Elephas maximus indicus: one gene and its partner. The protein of the gene in region 1 binds, or shares a complex with, the protein of each later gene. Links are inferred from orthologs where the notes say so. Each region holds a gene or a part of one and is shown on either strand. Other genes may lie near its edges.

What was found.
Region 2: the proteins of SPIN1 (region 1) and SPINDOC are in contact, whole or in part, in a crystal structure (PDB 7CNA), measured with the Homo sapiens proteins. The link is inferred for Elephas maximus indicus from reciprocal best matches to the Homo sapiens genes SPIN1 and SPINDOC. Residues at the interface, in NP_006708.2 of Homo sapiens: Met154, Thr169, Tyr170, Glu171, Pro174, Pro206, Val209, Val210, Leu213, Lys216, Gln217, Val218, Glu219, Tyr220, Thr229, Val232, Val242, Tyr243, Ile245, Phe247, Asp249, Asp250, Tyr254, Val255, Tyr256, Asp257, Leu258, Val259, Lys260, Thr261; in NP_612480.1 of Homo sapiens: Phe256, Ala258, Pro259, Ala260, Val262, His264, Phe265, Thr266, Asp267, Ser269, Phe270, Pro271, Gly273, Phe274, Val275, Leu276, Gln277, Leu278, Phe279, Ser280.

The regions. Positions count from the first base shown.
Region 1 is NC_064827.1:124,887,093-124,898,832, reverse strand, and holds the start of SPIN1 (spindlin-1), read left to right. Parts: upstream 1-7,289; 5' UTR 7,290-7,374; intron 7,375-7,696; exon of another isoform or gene 7,697-7,910; intron 7,911-8,332; exon of another isoform or gene 8,333-11,257; intron 11,258-11,740. UniProt on the Homo sapiens protein: Chromatin reader that specifically recognizes and binds histone H3 both trimethylated at 'Lys-4' and 'Lys-9' (H3K4me3K9me3) and is involved in piRNA-mediated retrotransposon silencing during spermatogenesis.
Region 2 is NC_064825.1:127,006,060-127,016,608, forward strand, and holds the start of SPINDOC (spindlin interactor and repressor of chromatin-binding protein), read left to right. Parts: upstream 1-5,816; 5' UTR 5,817-6,033; coding exon 6,034-6,160; intron 6,161-10,281; coding exon 10,282-10,549. UniProt on the Homo sapiens protein: Chromatin protein that stabilizes SPIN1 and enhances its association with histone H3 trimethylated at both 'Lys-4' and 'Lys-9' (H3K4me3K9me3).

The DNA of each region.
Region 1 (11,740 bases):
TTTATTACAGTAGCTGTCATGAATTGAACTGTGTCCCCCCAAAAATACATGTCAACTTGGTTAGGCCATGATTCCCAGTATTGTGTGGTTATCTTCCATTTTGTGATCGTAATTTTATGCTAAAGACGATTAGGGTGGGATTGTAACGCCACCCTTACTCAGGTCGCCCCCCTGACCCAAGGTAAAGGGAGTTTCCCTGGGGTGTGGCCTGCATCATTTATCTCTGAAGAGATAAAAGGAAAGGGAATCAAGCAGAGAGTCAGGGACCCCATACCACCAAGAAAGCAGCACCAGGATTACAGTGCGTCCTTTGGACCTGGGGCCCCTGAGCCTGAGAAGTTCCTCAACCATGGGAAGACTGAGAACAGGTACCTTCTCCCAGAGCAGACAGAGAAAGACTTCCCCTGGAGCTGACGCCTTGAAATTGGACTTTTAGCCTACTTTATCATGAGGAAATAAATTTCTCTTCATTAAGGCCATCCGCTTGTGATATTTCTGTTATGGCAACACTAGATAACTAAGACATTAGCCTTTTCAGGAGATTGCCTATATTTCAGATCTTCTATTCTAAATTCTCTCCTAGATAGTACCTGATTGATTCAACAAAATCCCCCCAAAGCCTGACTGAACACTTTCCCTTACATGTGTGTAATTCTGCAGCTTATATTATTCCTTTTGTTCTCTGAATACCCCTGTAAGAGTGGCTAAGGAGAATTCAAATCCCCCAGTCTCCTGGTATTCAAGGCCCTTTAAAAGCTCATATAAATCCAGACAACCCAGCACTCTGAGAACAAGTCAGACATTAATTTATAATAAATAGTTGTTGAACACTTACTGTGCTCTAGGGATTATACTGATAGTGAAGCCAGATAAAGCCCTCTGGAATTTATCATGGGATGAAAAAACCAAAAAACCAAACCCATTGCTGTCAAGTTGATTCTGACTCACAGTGACAGCGTAGAACTGCTCCACAGCGTTTCCAAGGAGCTCCTGGTGGATTTGAACTGCTGACCTTTTGGTTAGCAGTAGTTCATGGGATGGAGGAACACAATACACAAGGCAACAAACAAATCAATACTGTTTGTAATTACAGAGGGGGATGGATGCTGTGAAGGAAAACCAACAGGGATGTAGGTATGAGAAAGAGAGCTGGCAATCTGCTTGTGCAGGTGGTCAGGAAGGCTTCTCTGAGGCGGAAATATTTAAAAGCATTTGTCTGTCTCCTGTGCAGAACCTGACCTGGAGGGAGAGGTAGGAGTGAACCAGGAGAGAGTGATAGGAACCTAAGTAGTTTAACCAGATGGCTGCTCGGGCTGTTTCTCCCTTTGAGTCCTCCATTCAGTGAACATTTTCTGAGCACCGCATGATGTTCCCTCCATCAAGTATAAACATATATGCTGTCCCCTCCAGAGGCTAAAATGCAGTGCCTTGTGCTCCTTGGAGTCCAGCTGATGTCCATTAGGGCAAGTGAGTGGAGGGTTCTCCTGGATCTCCTCTACATCCAGCAGTGCTGCCAAAATGACAGTTTCAATGGCTTGAGAGAAGCTCGAAGGGACATGGCATTGTAATTTGTGATTTTGCAGAGGCTCCAGGAGCAAGTTGTTAAGCTGGAAAAAAAGAAAAAGACTGTGGAAAGGTGTCTTCTAAGAAACATGTTCTTGGTAAGACAGAGGCCCTGTGTTGCCCTTTTAGTCTCTCTGGTGCCATACTTTCAGGGAGTAGAGGAAACTGATGGGCTGCTTCAGTGTGTGGTCTTAGTGCTCTGAGGCCCCTGGGACGATAAATGGCCAGGCCCTTCCCTCCAGAATTGAAGGGGTGGGGTCTCTACAGCCCTCCTGGTTGAGATGGGACTAGACAGGGGATTGGGGTAGTAGAAGGGGTCAGAGGCCAGGGGATTGGGCCTACAGGTGAGGCCCCTGCCAGAGCCTATGTTATCATTTCAGTACTCCTGGGTTTCTTTCTAACCATGTTTGTCTGGGTAAATCCTTCTACAGACCCTCAATGGTCTTCCACAAAGTCTTCAATGAACCCCTTCTCTCTAGGCATACATGGAAGAGAACGAAAACAAACCATCTGCCTTCTGGGAGCTTAGATGAGAGATAATGTGTCAGCTGGTAATAAGAGGCATGGGGAATGCATTCTCATCCATGCCCACTTCCTGTAACCTGGGGTGGACTGGATACCTGGAGAGGTTCCAGACCAAGCTAGGCATCACAGTTGGCTTGTTTCTGACCCAGCTCCTTCCTGTGCCCCCCTAATCCCTTTCCCTCTCTTTCTGGTCCCACTGCTGACCATCCAGGCTGGCTCTGGTCACCTTGGCCATGGACACAGCCCTAGATCCCATGTTTCCTCCTACAGAGTGTGTGAATCAATTGTGGATCTCAGATTTGGCCAGGGTACCTTATTAGGACTAACACTGAACAGCAGCCTCTGGCCTAGTTTGGGCCACCATCTTATCAGGATTCACATGCAAGGGTTGTCAAATCTACATTATTATCCTCGGTGGGAGTGGCAGAGTCAGCCTAAGCCCCAAACGTATTTAGTGCCAATCTGGTCCGTTCACTAAGTGCGAGAACCCTGATAGTTCCCAGCTTGATCCAGACTTGCTGTCAATTCTCTGTATGATAAAAAACGAAACAAATAAAAGCTAACAATTTCTTAGTACTCTCGATGGTGTAAGCAGTGGTACAAAGGTGTATCGCTGTGCCTGTACCACAGTGAGTTCTGAGGAACTGTCAGCTTTTATTTCTGTTACACGGGGTCACTAAGAGTCAGAATCAACTTGACGGCAGCGAGTTTTATTTATTCATTTTTTGGTTTATATGTATACACGCACATAACGTATGTATGTACGTACCCCTGTGAGTCTGTCAGTTTGTCATACTGTGGGGGTTCCCGTGTTGCTGTGATGCTGGAAGCTTTGTCACCAATATTTAAATACCAGCAGGGTCACCCTTGGTGGAGAGGTTTCAGCGGAGCTTCTAAACTAAGACAAACTAGGAAGAATGAGTTGGCGGTCTAATTCTGAACAAAATTAGCCAGTGAAAACCTCATGAATAGCAGGGGAACACTGTCTGATATAGTGCCGGAAGACGAACCCCTCAGGTTGGAAGGCACTCAAAATATCACTGGGGGAGAGCTGCCTCCGCAAAGCAGAGTTGACCTTAATGGCGAGGATGGGGTCAAGCTTTTGGAACTTTCATTTGCTGACGTGGCACGACTCAAAATGAGAAAAAACAGCTGCAAACATCCATTAATAACCAGGATGTGGAATGTACAAAGTACAAATGCAGGAAAACTGAAAATCGTCCAAAATGAAACGGAACACATAAACATCGATATTCCAGGCATTAGTGAGCTGAAACGGACTGGTATTGGCCATTCTGAATCAGACAATCATATGATCTACTGTGCAGAGAATGAGAAACTAAAGAGGAACGATGTAGCATTCATCATCAAAAAGAACATTTCAAGACCTATCCTGAATTACAATGTTGTCAGTGATAGGATAATATCCATATGCCTACAAGGAAGACCAGTTAATACGACTATTATTCAAATTTACCCACCAACCACTAAGGTGAAAGATGAAGAAACTGAAGATTTTTACCAACTTCTGCAGTCTGAAATTGATCAAATCAAGATGCATTGATACTTACCGGTGCTTGGAATGTGAAAACTGGAAACAGGAAAGAAGGAACGGTAGTTGGAAAATTATGGCCTTAATGATAGAAATGATGCCTGAGATCACATGATAGAATTTTGCCAAGACCAACAACTTCTTCACTGGAAATACCTTTTTTTAACAACATAAATGGCGACTATACCTCACCAGATGGAACACACAGGAATCAAATTAACTACATCTGTGGAAACAGATGATGGAAAAGCTCAAAATCATCAGTCAGAACAAGGCCAGGGGCTCACAGTGGAATAGTCCATCAATTTCTCATAAGCAAGTTCAAGATGAAGGTGAAGAAAATTTGAACAAGTCATGAGAGCCAAAGTACAACCTTGAGTATATCCCACCTGAATTTAGAGACCATGTCAAGAATAGATTTGATGCACTGAACACTAATGGCCAAAGACCAGATGTGTTGTGGCACGATACCAAGGACATCATTTATAAAAAAAGCAAGAGATCACTAAGAAGACAGGAAAGAAAGAAAAGGCCAAAATGGTTGTCAGAAGAGACTATGAAAGTTGCTCTTGAATGCAGAGTGGCTAAAGGGAAAGGAAGAAATTATGAAGTAAAAGAGCTAAACAGATGGTTTCAAAGGGCAGTTAAAGAAGACAGAGTAAAGTATTACAATGAAATGTGCAAAGACCTGGAGTTAGAAAACCAAAAGGGAAGAACACACTTGGCATTTCTCAAGCTGAAAGAACTGAAAAAAAAATTCAAGGCTTGAGTTACAATACTGAAGGAATTCTATGGGGAAAATACTAAACGATACAGGAAGCATCAAAAGATGGAAGGAACACAGAGTCACTGTACCGGAAAGAATTAGTTGACATTCAACCATTTCAGGAGGTAGCGTATGATCAAGAACTGCTGGTACTGAAAAAAGAGGTCCAAGCCACCCTGGAGACACTGGCGAAAAACAAGGCTCCGGGAATTAAGGGAATACCAACTGAGATGTTTCAACGAACGGATACAGCACTGTGCCAGGAAATTTTGAAGAGAGCTACCTGGCCAACTGACTGGAAGAGATCCATATTTGTATCCATTCTAAAGAAAGGTGATCCAACAGAATGCAGAAATTATTGAATAATATCATTAATATCACACACACAAGTAGGATTTTGCTGAAGATCATTCAAAAACAGTTGCAGCAGTACATTGACAGAGAACTGCCAGAAAGTCAAGCCAGATTCAGAAGAGGATGTGGAACCAGGGATATCATTGCTGATGTCAGACGGACCCTGGCTGAAAAAGAACACTAGAAAGATGTTTACCTGTGTTTTACTGACTACGCAAGGCATTCAACCCTGTGGATCGTAACAAATTACGGATAACATTGAGAAGAATGGGAAATCCAGAACATTTAACTGTGCTCATGAGGAACCTGTAGTTAGACCAGGAGGCATTTTTTTGAAACATGGTTTAAAGTCAAGAAAGGTGTGGGTCAGTGTTGTATCCTTTCACCAAACTTATTCAATCTGTATACTGAGCAAATAATCCAAGAGGCTGGACTATATGAAGAAGAACACGGCATCAGGATTGGAGGAACATTCGTTAATAACCTGTGATGTGTACAGACAACACAACCGTGCTTGCTGAAAGCGAAGAGGGCTTGAAGCACTTACTGAAGATGAAAGACCATAGCCTTCTTTGTGGATTACAACTCAACATAAATAAAAATCCTCACAACTGGACCAACAAGCAACATCATGGTAGCGAAGAGACTGACGCTGCCAAGGATTTCATTTTACTTGGATTCACAATCAACACCCATGCAAGCAGCAGTCAAGAAATCAAGTGACGCATTCATCTGGGCAAACCTGCTGCAAAAAATCTCTTTGAAGTGTTAAAAAGCAGAAATGTCACTTTAAGGACTAAGGTGTGCATGACCCAAGCCATTGTGTTTTCAATTGCCTCATATCCATGGGAAAGCTGGAGAACGAATAAGGAAGACTGAGGATTTGAGGCCTTAAAAATGAACCAATCTGTCTTGGAAGACATACAGCCAGAATGCTCCTTTGAAGCGAAGATGGCTAGACTTCATCTCACATACTTTGGACATGTTATCAGGACCAGTCCCTGGAGAGGGACATCATGGTTGGTAAAGTAGTGGGTTAGCGGAAAAAAAGGAAGACCCTCAAGGAGATGGATTGACACAGTGGCTGCAATAATGGGCTCAGGAACCGGCAGTGTTTCCTTCTGTTGTACACAGGGTGGCTATGAGGTAGAACCCACTGGAGAGCACCTAACAACAACATACGTATACATGTATATAGGTATCTTGGCCCTTTTGTTGGCGTGTAAACTTCCTGTTCCTGCCAAACGTGTCCTTGGAGATGAGCGCTTAAAGCCAGCGCATATCAATCGTGCTTGGAAGACAATGTGCCAGTATAATCCCAAAGAGCACTGCTTACTAACAACTGTCCTGCAATTCAGAGTGCACAAAGTGCTTTCCAACAATCCGTTTTGTAATTCGACCTGACAACATTCTGGGGGAAGGTTTATTACCGTTGGGCTGCTACGGCAGCGCTTTCGCGCTCTAGGAAACACGGAAGCAGGGTGACTGACTGGAAGACACACAGGGCTAGTGACTGGGTGGGGGATTCACGTGGAGGCGTAGGTGGGGGCGCTGGTATTCAGACCTAGATTAAGCCTCCGAGTTCTGCTGTCAAGTCGGAACTAGTAAAATGTTCTGAATGCTTCCTCTCCCCCTACTCCTGCAAGGAACAAATAAATTATTCAAAAGAACGTCTTCGTTTAAGCTGAAGTCAAAGGCATTAAAGTGCAATAGGGGGAGTTTCTGGCTCCTAGACTCGCAAGTCGAGCTGATTTAGTCCTTGTTTTCGTGGAGGGGGCTGGGAAAAGGTTTCTAGCATTGCAGAACTCACAACTCCCTACACAACCTCGGGAAGGCCAGATATTTTGTAGATGAGGATTTGGGGTTTACGTTAACCTGAGATATGTAGAGAGAGGCTTTTTTACACGGCAGTAGCATTGTGAGGTGACCCGAGGTACGAAGCTGTGTAATCAAGCGAATCACAGGAAACAAATTTACTTTTATAAAGAGCTTAACTTCTGCAGTCTTGAACCTAAAACCTACGTTACTGAAATTTAGCTGGTGTAGCGTCCGTCGTTCAAAACTCACCTTTTTTCCGGATATTCTTGCTATTTTATCCAGTTCCATAAATCTTTGGGGTGTGCTGTTTAAGGACAAAGAGCACCTCATCATTTCTTAGAAAGTCTTCGTAGGAAACAGGAACCAAATTCCTCCAAGGCGGCCTAACTTTCCGTAGAAACGATGTCACTCCAAGGTTCCGGGAGCTCTGCACTCTTCACGCCACCCTCGACCCGGAGGCGATGCTGGCCGGTAGCTCGCGGCTCGCACCTGGAGGCTCCGACTGCCTGGCAGGCTGTGCGGACACTCCGCCCATCTTTTCAGGTGAGCAGCCGCGAGGCCCCGCCCCTCCCGAGCCGGCCCGGCGGCGCGTGCGCAGCTCTTCCGGGCTCGGTGCGGGCCGCCGGGCTGGCGGGGCCGCCGCAGTTCGGCGGGCCCAGTGCGCGTGCGCCGCGGAGGCCGGGGGGCGGGGAGGCGCCGTCTGGCTCGGGTTTGGGCCGGGGCGGGGAGCTTGAGAAGAGGGACGGCGGGAGCCCGTGTGGGGTTTGCGGACGGCAGGCCTCTGGCGGGTCGGCAGGTGAGGCCTCTCCGCCGCGGGCGGAAGCAGGGGCGCCTGGGGAGCAGCATCGCTGCCATGAGAGGTGTGCGGGCGTGAAGCGTGCGTCGGCGCCGCTCTTTGGCCTCAGGCGCAGGCGGGCGGGCCGCAAGGCTACTCTGGCTGCAGTCGGCGCCCTGTCGCGCCCAGGTGAGAGCTGCCGGACCGCCCGGCCGGCCGACGCCCGCCTGGCTCCCCGGCGTCGCATTGTCCAGTGCCCGGGCCGCGCCTGCACAGCGCCCCCTGCCGGCCGGGACGCCTGCGCGGGGCGGGGGCCGCCGGGGCCTCTGGCGCCGAGCGCGCGCTCCTTTGTTCGCCGCCGCCGCGCGCCGGTCCCTCCCCGCAGCCCTGGGCCGCCGACGCCCTGCGAGTCCCGGCACTGCGCGCCCCGCCCCGCCTTGCCAACATGGCCGCCGCCGCGGCGCGCCCCGCGTCCCCCGCACCGCCGGTCCCTTAGCGCCCGCTTTTGTTACTCGGAGCCAGTGCTCCGCCTGCGCTGCGCGCCCGGCAGGGTTCCGGTAAGGCTCTGCGGGCCCAGGCCGTGTCAGCTGTTGGCGGCGGCAAACGAGCGGGACGGAGAGCCACGCGGCGCGTGGGGCGGGAGGGCTTCGCGCTGCGTATTTTCGAGGGCGGTGGGGGAGGGGACGATGCGCCAAAATCGTTGGCGGCGGCAAGATGTTCAGTGTTGCATAATAGCCCGGGCCTGTCCGCGCCCGACGAGGCTGGGCACCGGAAGGAGGAAGAGAAGCGGCACTACCTGGGCCCCGAGCGGCCGGGCGGAACACCGGATGCTCTCGCGCGGAGCCCGGGCTGGCGCTGCGGTGGGGCTTCTGGACCGGTGTCAGCGGCGCGTGGGGGGTTGCCGCGCCTCCTGCGGCGGCGGGTTGTTTCAGTAAATGGGTCAACTTGCACTTTTCGCTGCTCCTTCGAGGGTGAGGGATATTGTATGCTCACAATAGCGTTGCTTTTCACGTGGAGAGCCCTTAGCCCTTGGAAGTTGTTGAATTTACCGAAAAGGCGTGTTTTCTCGTCGTTCCAGTGACGCCCACTAGCACATTTCCGACCCTATGCGGTGCTCCGGCATTCGCAGCACCCTCTCCTGGCTCCGTTAAACACTTCGGCAGCCTTCTGTTGGGCATGAAATCGACGGTGGGAATATGCATTTCTTTTGACACTTTTTTTTTTAATCCATCAAAGTGACCTTGAATGTATCCTGTAAGGAATCTGTTCGGATGAATTTTATGATACGGAAGCTACGCAGTGCTTTTTGGTTTGGCTTTCGCTGTTAGATTCTTGTGTTGATTATGCATTCTGGATTTTACGGGATTGGCTTTTAGTAATGGCTTCAGTAGTAAATATTAAATAGGCTCCTCAGCTTATTTACTCAATTGTTTTTATATTTACTTTTTATAATTGAGCTGGGATTCCAAGTTTTGAAGAGGATTTTCCAAACATATCGAGGTGTTTTTACTCTGGCTGAAATAATTCGTTTGGCTATTTTACTGTGTATGTTAAAAGCAATACAGGACGCACTAAAGTGTTTTAAAGGATGTCTCCGGATAATATGACTTGTGCCAAAGAAAACATACATACCAAAATGTGAATACCTATGTAACTTTTTTTCTGGTAGAATATTCTGGAAGGAACTGTATATCTTCTGAGAGGATTGATAGAGAGTATAGTGCTTTCTACGTGACTCTTGTTAGGAAGTGAAAAATCTAAACCCAAGGATTTATGCCAGGACATACATTTGTGAAGATTCTTTAAGAGAGGTGAAATTTCAGAAAGAGATCACGTGAAATGAGGCGGCTTTCCCCTTGTCCGTCCAGCTTTAGCTAATGGGTAAAAACCAAAAAGACAGGAACGAGATAAACATAACTTAGAGAACGCCCATTATCCATATTTGATAATTATGTATTGAAGTTGCATAGTGTTTTTATGGATAGAGGTATTAGTTTATTGTGAGAGATAAAATTGAATTTATTTTTAATCTTTTGTGTAGTGAAATGATTACTGTTATGATATGAAGTGGATAAGGTGAGAGGGCCAGAATAAGTCTGTAGTCATCTCTTTATGTTTAAGATTTTTTTATTAAGACTTGCATTGCTCCCTGGAATTTCAGTAGTGGTTTCTGACAGTGCCTTTAATTACCAATTCAGAACAGAATAACACTACAAGATGTCAGTAACTCGGTTTTGGACTATCTGAAGCAGTGTTGTTGAATGTGCCATTTGTGGCAGTAATTCTAGGAGATGCTGCAGGAAAAAGGGGTGCCTTGGCCAAATAAGTTTGGGAAACAGTGCTGTGTCCTTTTCATCTCTTCTCGGGGTCACCATTCAGATTATCATGTCAAAAGTTCTGGTAAATATTCTAGTAGTGTTTTCTATATCTGACCCCAGAACTCTTTTTTTTTGTTCTGTTTTGGTGTAATATTTTTTAGCGCCCAGAATTCAGGAAACAGAGGTTGTTGCCTGGAACATACGTTTTGAAATGTTGAGCACTACAGTGAACTAATTTTGAACTGAGGGATCATGAGGTTGATGTGGTTTGTGTGTCCTGTGGATTTTATGAGCAGTACCCCAAATTTGGCTCTTACTGTATTTATGAAATTTGTTAATCCAAAATCTTAAAACTAGAAAACGTTAACTAGTTACAGTGTTCCCGCTTCCCAATGACTTAGATGATTGCACACACTGTTAACAGTAATAAGGTTACCAATTGTTACGATTTTTTTCCTGGTATGCTAGAAATTAAGAATACTACGGTTTTTGAAGAGCTAATCATTCAGATGATTTAGAGGTTAAAAAGAATGCTGTTGGGCATTTCTCTTCGTTAGCTGTTAGCAGACTCTTAATTTGTTGGGAAAGGGCAGTTAATATATATTTATGTAAATCCTTTTATTTATTGGATGCTAAATTGAATGTTTTTTTCCCTTTCCTTTGAATGAAAAGAAGTTAGAAGAGAATAATTTTGCCCAATTATTTTACTCAGCTTGAAAGGCATTATGGTTTTGTTAAAAAGTTGTGGGTTCTGAAGTTATCATAGCCTTTCATATCAGAAGAACCTGGGTTGAAATTGAGCTCCAGTACTGGTCCAAAGCCACAGAACTAATTCATCATGTATCCTTTTTTTTAACCTCTTATTCCCCAGAATGTACACCAGGGATGAAACTTACAAGGCTGTTTTGAGAATTACAGGAAATGGATCCATAGAATTCCCAGTACAGTTACTGAAGTATAGTAGCTGATGACAATAAATGTTGATTTCCTTCCCCTTCCTACTTTTGTGCTTTGCTGTAGGCAGTAAGGTCGCTATGAGTCAGAATTGACTTGATGGCAGTGGGTTTGGTTTATAGTCATTAGACCTGGTGGTGCAGTGGTTAAGAGCTGTCTTTGACTGCTAACCAAAAGGTTGGCAGTTCGGATTCACCAGCAGCTCCTTGGAAACCCCCGGGGGCAGTTCTGCTCTTTTCTTAGGGTGGCTATGAGTTGGAATCTACTCAGCGGCAACAGGTTTTTGTTTTTTTTTTTTAATAATTTTTATTGTGCTTTAAGTGAAAGTTTACAAGTCAGCCTCTCACACAAAAACCCATATACACCTTACTACATACCCCCAATTACTCTCCCCCTAATGAGACAGCCTGCTCTCTCCCTCCGCTCTCTCTTTTCGTGTCCATTTCGCCAGCTTCTAACCCCCTCCACCCTCTCGTCTTCCCTCCAGGCAGGAGATGCCAACATAGGCTCAAGTGTCCACCTGATCCAAGAAGCTCACTCCTCACCAGCATCCCTCTCCACCCCGTTGTCCAGTCCAATCCATGTCTGAAGAGTTGGGTTCGGGAATGGTTCCTGTCCTGGGCCAACAGAAGGTCTGGGAGCCATGACCACTAGGGTCCTTCTAGTCTCAGTCAGACCATTAAGTCTGGTCTTACGAGAATTTCGGGGTCTGCATCCCACTGCTTTGCTGCTCCCTCAGGGGCTCTTGGCAACAGGTTTTTTATAGTCATTAGAGTGATTTTTTTTTTTTTTTTTTGGGTCATGGTGGAGTAAACAACTTGTTGAGCCTCAGTGTTCAATTTAATTTTAAATCTATCGGGTGCCTATTTTATGCCTTGAAACTACCATAAATCCTTTCTGGGAGGAGTCATGTGCATACATAAACAAAGATTTATTTGTAAATACCTTTTACAGCCTAGTAGGGAAGCTATGTGCACGTAATGAGGAAGTTCGATGCTGAATGGTATCTTGGAAGAAAAGATGATGCTGTAGTAGGGTCAGGAATTTTAGAGGAGGAGAGGGAAGGAAGTGTAGATGGAGGGGGCGGGGGCAGCAGGAGCAGAGGCATGAAGAAT
Region 2 (10,549 bases), on another chromosome or scaffold:
ACCAAATTCTGTCTTAGTCATCTAGTGTGGCCATATCAGAAATACCACTTGTGGATGGCTTTAACAAAGAGAAATCTATTTTCTTACAGTCTAGTGGGTTACAAGTCCAAATTCAGGGCATCAGCTCTAGGGGAAGGCTTTCTCTCTCTGTCGGCCTTCTCATCAATGTTGCCCCAGATGAGGAGATTCTTCATGCAGGGACCCCAGGTCTAAAGGACGTGCTGTGCTCCTAGTGCTTCTTTCTTGGTAGTATGAGGTCCCCCAGAGCTTAGACTGATTGTTTCTCCTCTGTATGTCACTTTTTGTTTTTCTCAAGCTGCTCGCAGGATTTTTTCTTTGTCTTTGGTTTTAGCGAGTGTAATTATGACATGCTTTGGCATTTTTCTTTTGGAGTCTATCCTATACAGGGCTTATTGAGCTTCTTGGATGGTCGGCTTTTCATCATTCATAATATTAGGGAAGTTTTCTGTCAGCAATTCTTTGGTGATCTTCTCTGTGTTTTCCATTGTCTCTCCCTGTTCTGGAACTCTGATCACTCGCAAATTTTTGCTCTTGATTGTATCCCACATAATTCTCAGGGTTTCTTCATTTTTCTTCGTTCTTTTTTCTGATTTTTTCCTCAAACAGAATTGTATCCAAGTGTTTGTCCTCAATTTCACTGAATCTGTCTTCCACTGTTTCAAACCTGCTCCTCAGCCCTTCTATGACACTGTCCATTTCTGAAATCTTGTTGTTTATCTTTTAGATTTCTAATTGTTGATTTTGTATGATTTTAGTTGTGAGTTTATTTTGGCATTTTGCTTCTGTATTACTTTCCTAAATTATCCCATTTTTTTTGGTCTGTATTTTCCATGAATTTGTCTGCCTTATCCATAAATTTGTTTATTTTTCTCTGCTTTTTGCTTTAACTCTTGGCTAGCTGTGAATATTAGAGCTTTGCATTCCCTGTCAGGTAGTTCTAGTGCCTTTTCTTCTACTGGAAAGTCATCTGGTGTTTTATTTTGGATGCCTACTGGAACCATCCTCTCCTGTTTTTTTATGTTTTGATATTGTTTGCTGTCTTTGGGACATTCAGTAGTTATTTTCTTCATTTCTTGATTGTAGATTTATTTGTTTTGTCCTGCTTTTCTGTTTTATTTGGTTATGTCTGAGCAGGTAGGCTATGCCTTCTTTGTTGTTTGCTCATCAGTAGTCACAATACTTTTCATCTACTTGTCCAATGGGCAGGGCCAGTCAATCAGCTATGGTGCTGCAAGGAAGGTCCAGCTGAAGGGGAGGGGCTGGGATGGGTTGTTTGTGACATGTACTAGGGCTGACAAGGCGGGCCAGGAGTCAGTGCTGGGCAGCTTCCAGAAGGCTGTACCTGTGCTTCTTAGGGGTGTGATGTTCAGTGCATGGTGCACGTAGGCAGGAAAGATGGGGGAGGTTGTGATGTGTGGCGCTAATAGGGGTATGAGAAAGAAGAGAGAGGAGAGAGAAACAGAAGTGGGTGCTGTCTCCTGCCGGGAACTTCATTAAGCTGCTTTCCCATACTCTCTGGCTGCTGATCTCTGATGTGGGTGGGGCGAATCCAAGCGGCATGGACGCTACACTTCCCGGCCAGCTGAGCCACCACAACCAGCCAGCAAGCTGGGAGGCAGAGCAGCAGGGAGATCATTGGTGGTGGGAAAGTATCACTGGTTACCAGGTGATCTGTCTCCTGTTGGGAGTTCTGCAAAGCTGCTTTCCTGTGCTCCGTGTCTGCCAATCCCCAACAGGAGTCCAAGATGGCAAATCCATGCTGCATTAACGATGGGGCCCTCCGCACGTATCTCTCCTTGCTCTCTGTCCTCTGTCAGTTTCTTATTCCGTTTCGTGCTTGGTTGAGTTCTTTATCTCTTCATTTGACACTTCAGGTTCCAGGAATGACATTTGTCTCTGTTTCACTTAGTTTTTCAGGTCTTCACTATAGAGGGACAGTGTGATGCTTCTGTCTATGGTGCCATGTTTGCCAGAAGTCTCTCTTTTTGAATCTTGATTGGCTCTGCTGACAAAACACAGCTCACATCAGTAGACGTGCTGGCCCATACAGATTCAGGAATTAATGAAAATATAGCAGGATGAAGAAGGCTAGATCGAGTTGAATCATCATTATGTGTGACCAGTGCTTGGAAGCAGCAAGCAATCTCTTCCTTTTCAATCTATTCTAATTCAAAACACATGTCGGTAAATTTTTGGACATTGGGCAAACTTAATATTTCCCCCTTTACAGTAAATTGCAAATGACAATTCCGTTTACACAAATGATCTTGGCCCAACAAATTGACAGGAGTATCAGGACTAAGTAAAAGTCTTCAGTAGGACCAAGAAATATTGGATTGAGTTGAGAATAAATTTGGGCTTGCTCTTGTTTGGTAACTGCCACTACCTTTGAGATGTTTGTACTCCAGGGCAGGAACTTTTGCAAAACATTGGGGTTAATAGCACATAAGGTGACTCCATTGTTAATAAAAAAAAAAAACTGACATGGTTCTCCATTAATGTTTACAATAGTTTCCCCTTGCAGGTTAAGCACACCGTAGGAAAAGTCTCTGTTGTGTCCCCAGAGCCTCTTCATTCCATGTTAGGTTGACAGACTTCTTGTTGCCAAGTTTTCATTTTGTTTTTAAATCTATAACATCCATTTTTCCAATGACCATGTTTCTTACAATAGTGGCAGATGCCAGCTTTGGGGCCATTAGAAGGTTTGGCATTCTTTTGATTTGGGACTGTAATTGCTGAAATTGAAGTGCCATAAATTTCTTAGCCTTTTTGTCCCTTTCAGCCTCAAAAGTCTGGGAAATTTAAAAGCCAAATAACTACATTCCACAATGGGGGCCCTTTATCAGTCTAATCAGTGCCGCTTAACCAAGGCTGAAATTTCAGGCATTAAAAGCTCCTGTTGCATCCAGAGCAGATAAGGTAAGACCAGAGTGTTCAGAAAACTTTTGAAGCAGTCTGGTTTGATAATCAAAACATCCTCATCTTTATTCTAATTACAGGAATGAATTTTTATCCAATCAGTTATTGGAGGAAAAACCTTGGGAATAGCCTCAAGTAATCTCTTACCCATTGCTCGACAATCCTTAAGCAGCTGTGTTATCTATATTTAAAGCTAAACTATTTTGGGATCTTTCCATTCAGTGTGTTCTAACCATAGCTGAGCTTCTCCAGGCCCAGTTATCATATGTACTAGTTGAAACAAATCTGGGACCCCAAATTGGTAAGCTTCAATAAGAATTTTAAACTCTTTAGCAAACTTGTAAAGCCCTTCAGGAAATTTTGGAAAATATTTCACAATGCCACATAACTCTGAGTAAGTCCAGGGAATAAAGGTAACACGGGGAAATTCCTCAGTGTTCGTAGGATGAATCTTAAAGGGCATTTCGGGTAAAGGCTCTTTGGTTTCTCAGGAAAAAAAGGAAGCTCAGACAGAGTGTTATTGAAGGAATAGGAAGGTAAGGGGAGTATAAAGGACAGATAGCTGGCAAAGGGGCAGATGGATCGGGAGCTGAGTTCTGACATTTTAACTCTTAATTTTGTTTGGTTAATTAAAAACAGTATCCTTCAGGGAAGCAGTTTTGCTAACTTGATGTCTTTGTAGACTTCTAAATACCAATCGAAATAGCCATCCCATTGAGGTTGTTTAATCTGGGAGCCTTTATTTTCTAATTTACTGGTCAGAAATACTAATTTAGATAATTCAAAAGAAGCCCAAAGTGGCCATTGATTTTCCAAACTATCTTTAGTGAGGTCATGCCAACCAGACAAAACACACATGTTAAAGGACCAAAGTGCTTGTTCATATAGTGGGCAAGAGTCCCACAGGGAGGCTCTGATTTGCCCTTGGAACTGGCATTTCCCATTTTTCTTCTGAAAGATAATAAAAGCTTACTTGCAAGAATAAAAACAAATCCTTAACAAAACTCAAAGAGCTACAGCACAAAGAATTAAACTCAGAAACCCAAATAGCTCAGCTGTTACATGAGCCTGAGTCCTCAACACCTCAGGGGTTGTTGACGGCAATGCACCTTCGAAGTCCTGTTTCTGACAATGAATATGTCAAAGAAGAAAATCTCATACACTGATAGGAGTAAGAACAGAGAGTTTTATTGAGGAATAGCAACTCTAGTTGGGCGGCATATAGTGAAAGTAGAAAGCACTCCGCTGTTCTGAACAAGGGCAGAGTTTTTATACACAGAGTTTAGTGTGACCAATACCACAGACATTTAAAAAAAAAAAATCTTTCATTTGATAATCTATTTTCTGACAAACATTTCTTGATAACAGTTTGAGTAAGCAATTTTTGAGAACATTTTCTTTACATGCCTCCTGGAATGTTTTTTGTACGTATTTTCCCAGAAGAACCACTTCTCCTTCATCCCCTCCCTTGTTTGCCCAAGAATGGTTCATGTTAACCCTTTATTGAGAGCCTGCTTCAAACACTGCTATGTTTGAATTTTGCTAACACAATATATACTATATTTGTGGGTTTTCACATTTAACATTTCAGAAATGTTTTTCCAGGTTGTTACTATCTTTATATCTATCCTTTTTGGTGCTGTCTACCACACCATCATTTAATTAGCCACTTCCTATTATCAGACAAAATGGTTATTTCTAGTGTTACTACAATTATATTCCTCCATTCAAAAATTTTGATTGCTCTTGAGTGGCTATTTGAGTTTTATCCACCTTCTTTTTCTCCTTCTTCCCTTCCTGTCACGTGGAGCCAGAACAGCTGTTGGCATCTTCCAACTAAGGATAAACTCAGTTCAGTAAGTTTGAGTTCAGTGGTTGTCTTGGTTTCTTAGTGCTGCTGTAACAGGAATACCAAAAGTGGGTGGCCTTATCAAACAGAAATTTATTTTCAGAGGCTGGAAGTCTAAATTCAGAGCACCAGGTCTAAAGGAAGGCTCTCTCTCTGCCCGCTCTGGGGGAAAATCCTTGTCAGAGATAAAAGCTGGCACATGGCACAGTCCAGCGTCATGGGAACAGGACTCTGGTCTTCGGGCTCCCAAGGGCTTGTTCTGTGACCTTCGGTAGGTCACACACTCTTTGGGCTCGCATTTAAAAAACAGACATTGTAATCGTGGCTGTGGTTTGTATGTGCCCACGTTCCACTCAGCAGCTCTTCAGCTTTGCATTCCCTTCTCCAGAGGGTTCCACAATATTTTTTTAAAGAACGGATATGCTAGGCAAAAAAAAAAAAAAAAGGCCAAAGGCCTCAGAAAAATACGTGCTCAAGGTCACAGACCTGGCAAATGAGGAAGAATTCAATCTCCATTTTTTGATGCCACCGCCCTTTCCACTCCCCTGCCTCCCCGCCCCGGATCTCTTCCCGCCCTCGGCATCTTCTGGGGTCGGAAGGCTTGTTCTGGGAGAGCCGCAAAAGCGACTCTGACAAAAATTCTGGTGCTGATGATACAAGCGTTTTTAATACCAGCAAACATGCCTGACTGGCATTTCAGAGGAGTACCACCACCCACTGGCTCCGCCAGCCGGTTCTCGACGCCCGCCGCTTGGGAAAGTTTGGAGGCCCTGATCCTCTGAGGCAATTGCACTGCGAGGGGCGACGGACGAACCCCTGCCTTCTCGCCTCCAGCGCGTCCTGAGGATTCTAACAGAGCCGCGCGCGCCGGGGGCGGGGCCAGACCGGAGGGGCGCGCGATTGGCCGCGTGGGCTCGGGGGCGGTGCATGACCGGGGCGGGGGCGGGGCCGGGAGCGGGCGGCGAGCGATTGGTTGCCCGAGTCCTGGGGCGGGCCCGGGGCGGGCTGCGGGCGGGTGCCGACTATGAGCCTCCATAAAAGGGAGCGGCGGCAGACTGGGGCCCCGGATTGAGCCCTCCCCGCCCGGGGTCCCGACGCGCCGCGGTCTCGGGGAGGCCTGGACGCTCCCGCCGCAGGCCGGGCCGCCGAACGACCGCGGCGCGGAGGGGGCTTCGCGGGCGGGAGGCGGCGGCGCCGCGCAGGCCCTTGTGTGGCATCCGGTCACCGCGCTCCCCAGCCACAGCATGGCTCTGAAGGCCGAGGGCGCCGCGCTCGACTGCTTCGAGGTGACGCTCAAGTGCGAGGAAGCGGAGGATGAAGCGGAGGCCGCGGTGGTGGCCGTAATTCCGCGGCCCGAGCCCATGCTCAGAGGTGAGGAGGGGAGGGGGCCCCACTTCCGCGTCGGGGCGGTGGGCCGGGGCCCGGGCGTCCTGTCGCTCCGCCCCCGCCAGGGCTTGGAATCTCGGGCCTCCCCGAATCCTCCCTGCCCCCACCCCCGCCAGGGTCTGGAGCCTTCGATACGTTCCCGGCGCGCTCGGGATCTTCCCGCGCCCGAGCGCCCCTTCGCCCGGCCCAGCGCTGGAGACAGGGTGCCCGGCGGCCCTGGATATCCGCCGCTCCCGGGAGGCGGCGGCAGGCTGGGGGCTAGGCTGTGTTCTGGGCCGAGGGGCCGCAAGGCCTCCAGGCCCGAGACTCGGTGCGGCAGCCTGGTGTTCGGAGCTATTAGGAGGATGGAGGCAGGCGTCGTGACAGCCTTCGAAGAGCAGAATTTTAAGGGCCCTTTTTTGCATGTATAAAGCTTTCCTGGCGCCCGAGGCTTCCCATCCCCAAGCTTCCCATCCTCAGACCTTCCGCTTGCATAAGCCACAGGTGTCAGATTCTAGTGCATCGGGGTGAATGGGACAGCACACAACACCCAGTTATGAAAAAGAGGTGCTTGCGGGGGGCGGGGTGGGGGGACGGGGACTCAGCCACCGGAGGAGATTGGCCTTGGGAGAGATTTGAAGAACAATCTGGAAATGCTCGCTTTCCCCTCCCACTCACCATTTCCTTTAGTCCCCAGCATCTCGAAAACCATAACAAAGGGCCACCTTTGTGGAAGACTTAATATTCATGAAAATTGAATTATCTTTATATTCTCCAGGCCTTGTGACAGTGGGACAGGAGAGGGGACAGGTTCATTCATTCGTTTAACCACAGATGAATATAACGTCTACTGTGTCTGCACTGCCTTTTCATCCTTTTTGGGATCTGGAGGGTGTAACATAAGCAAGGGAAATAAAGGCCACTATGGGTTGGGTTTTATCCTCCTCAGAGCTTTCAGCCCAACCATGCCCTTAGGGATGGTCTCAGTTAATCCCCTGAATAGCCCTGCAGGAGTGCTTTTATCCCCTCTGAAAGAAATGAGGAAATAGAAGTCCAGAAAGGTTAACTCATTCAGTAAACGTTGGACACCTACTGTGTGCCAGGAAAACCTGGTGGTGTAGTGGTTAAGAGCTACCGCTTCTAACCAAAAGGTTGGCAGTTCAAATCCACCAGGTGCTCCTTGGAAACCCTATGGGGCAATTCTTTTCTGTCCTATAGGGTCGCTATGAGTTGAAATTGACTCAACGGCAATGGGTTTGGGTTTTTTTTTTTTTTTTTTTTTTTGGTACTATGTCCCAACAGTCCCGGGTGACACAAACAGTAAGCATTCAATTGCTAGCCAAAAGGTTGGTGGTTTGAATCCACCCAGAAGTGCCTTGGAAGAAAGGCCTGGTGATCTTCTGAAAGGTCACAGCATCAAGAACCCTATGGAGCAGTTCTACTCTGCACGCACAGGGTCACCATGAGTTGAAATCAATTTGACAGCAACAGGTTTGGTTTTTGTTTGTTACGTTTTTTAGTATATGCCAGGCTGCTCTAGGCCGGGGATGCTAATGGCAGTAAACAAAGCAGACAACACCTCAGCCTTGTGGAATATGTGGATACAGACTAATAGCTAAAGACAGACCCAAAACCCACTGCCGTCGAACCAATTCTGACTCATAGCGACCCTATAAGACAGAGTAGAACTGTCCCATAGAGTTTCCAAGGAGCGCCTGGAGGATTTGAACTGCCACCCTTTTGGTTAGCAGCCATAGCTCTTAACCACTACGCGACCAGGGTTTCCTAAAGACAGATATTCAGGTAAATATATAGTAGCACAGGTGATGACAAGTGGTTTGGAGAACACTAAAGCAGGGAAAGGAGAAAAGAGAGTGGGACTTGGTTATTTTATTAGGTATATTGAGTGGTCAGAGGTGGCTTCTCTAGTAAGGCGAAGTTTGAGCACAGACATTGGAGACTGAGCACTAACCTTGTAGATAACTGGAGGAAGAGCATTTCAAGCGGAGAGAATAGCAAGTACAAAAGTCCTGAAGCAGAAGCTTCTTGAGAGGTTTGGGGTATCAGAGAAAGGACGAATTCTAGGTTTTTGGCCTGAGCAACTAGAAGGGTAGGTTTCCCATTTACTGAGATGGGGAAGGCTGGGGTGCAGGTTTTGTGGGAGACTGAGGAAGGAAAGTTTGAACGTAGTAAGTGTGAGATGATTATTGCACATCCGTGTGGAGACGTCTGGTGGGCAGTTAGATATATGGGTCTAGATTTCATGGAATAGTCTGGCTGGAGATATACACAGGGGAGTTGTCAACAGGCAAGCAATTAGAGACCATCAGAGGAAGGAGGTGGACAGAGAAGTGGTCCAAGCACTGAGTCCTGTAGGACTTCAATGATTACAGGCTGAAGATGGAGTCATTGCCTCATCAAATATTACTGAGGGTCACTGCTCACCAGGCACTGTTCTAGGTGCTAGAGGGGCAAGCGTGAACAAGCCAAAACCCACGTGGTCATGGAGCCTGCGGTGTAGTAAGGAGACACGCTAAAAGTAAAACACGCATTCATTCTGTCAGGTGGTAATATGTGCGGTGGAGGAAGATGAAGCAGCAAAGGGGGATGGATGGGTTTTAGGTGGAGGGAAGTGACAGCTTTCTGTAGGGTGGCAGAAGGCCTCAGTGAGAAGCTGGTTCTCCAACAGTGACCTGGAGGAAGTGAGTGAGCTGCGCAAATAGCTGGGAAGAGATGAAGGAGATGAGTGAGTCATGGCAAAGGTGACTAAGAGCACCAGTGAAGTAAAAGAACCAAGGAAAGGTGCTGCCCTGGAAGCCAAGTGAAAATCAAGGTGGAAGAAGTGATCCATCAAACGAAGTTTAAGAGCTCACCTGCTGGGATTAGCATCAGTGACCTTGACAAAAGCTGTTCGGAAGGAGTGGTGGGGACAAAAGCCCGACTGGAGCTAGGAGGTCAGGCTTACCGTCCGCAGTCCCATAGGTGAACTCAGGTTTGGATCTAGATCTTCTGATTCCAAGCTAGTGCTCACATCCATGTCATACGCCGCCTCTTCCATGTAGCCTTCCCAGACCTTCGCAGTCCTGCTTCCAGGTGTGGGGGCCCCCCTTGTTTGTATTTCGTCCCATTCTCTCACTTAAGAGTTTCCTGTTGCAGCCGTAAGGGATCATGGTCACTTGGTAGAAGCATTGAGCTGCCAGGCTGCACGTGGGGCTATTTTGCCTCTTGCCAAGCCAGACAGGAACCCTGCCCTGAGGGAGCTTGTGGTTCCTGTGCACAAAGATCAGGAGCCAGACAGACTGGCCTGTGGAGGCAGTACCACAGCTTTGAAGGGAGGCTGGCTCTGACAAGTTGGAGTGGCTTTCAGAAGAGCCTACACAAGTGGAAGAACAGGCAGGCAAGTGCATCGCCTGACCGAAAGCTCGCTGAATGTCTCCTCTCCGATGTGCCAGGCCCTATTGGGATGACAAGATGAGTAAATTTATCTTCCTCACCCTCAAGAAAATGCACACTATGGGCTGGAGGTCAGCTGTGGATACAGTCAACCTCCAGGGGTGGGAAGTCAGGAGGGCTTCACAGAGGCCATGACTTGAGCAGGGCCATGAGGGAAGGTGAGGAAATTTACAGCGGTGTCTGGACAGATGCGTGAAGGCTGTAGACATGCAAGAACATAGCCTAATGAAAAACACATCGACCTGTAGTCCGAGACTAGATCAAGAGAAGGTGTAAGGTAGCAGGATACCAAGAGGTCTGGTGACATAAATGATGAAGCTAACCGAAAAGTTGGTGATCTAAACCCCCCCAGCAGCTCTGCGGGAAAATGACCTGGCAATCTGCTTCTGTACAAGATTACAGCCAAGGAAACCCTACGGGACAGTTCTCTGTGGCATGGGATCACTATGAGTTGAAATCCATTTGACAGCACCCAACGACAGTAGCAGCAGCAGAATATCAAGGCATATAGACTGTGCTCAATGTGGGCTCCTAGGGAAGGGAGAGAAAGACTTTGGACAGGAATGCCCCGTCCCTCCTAAAGACACACACTCCACCGAGCTCGGGGTATCGTGCTCTAAGTACTATTGGCTGAGGATACTTTTGCTGATGACAGCCCCCTTCTCCCTCCACAGTGGCCCAGCAGGAGAAGACCCCACCACCTAGGCCCAGCCTGCTGGAGGCTGGTGGTGATGGCTATGAGGAGCCCAGGCAGCAAATGTCTTGGGAACAGGAGTTCCTGGTGGGGAACAGCCCAGGAGGCAGCGGGCGGGCACTCTGCATGGTGTGTGGTGCTGAGATCCGCTGCCCCTCGGCCGACACAGCCCGCACGCACATCCTTGAGCAGCATCCACACACCCTGGACCTCAGCCCGTCTGAGAAGAGCAACATCCTGGAGGCCTG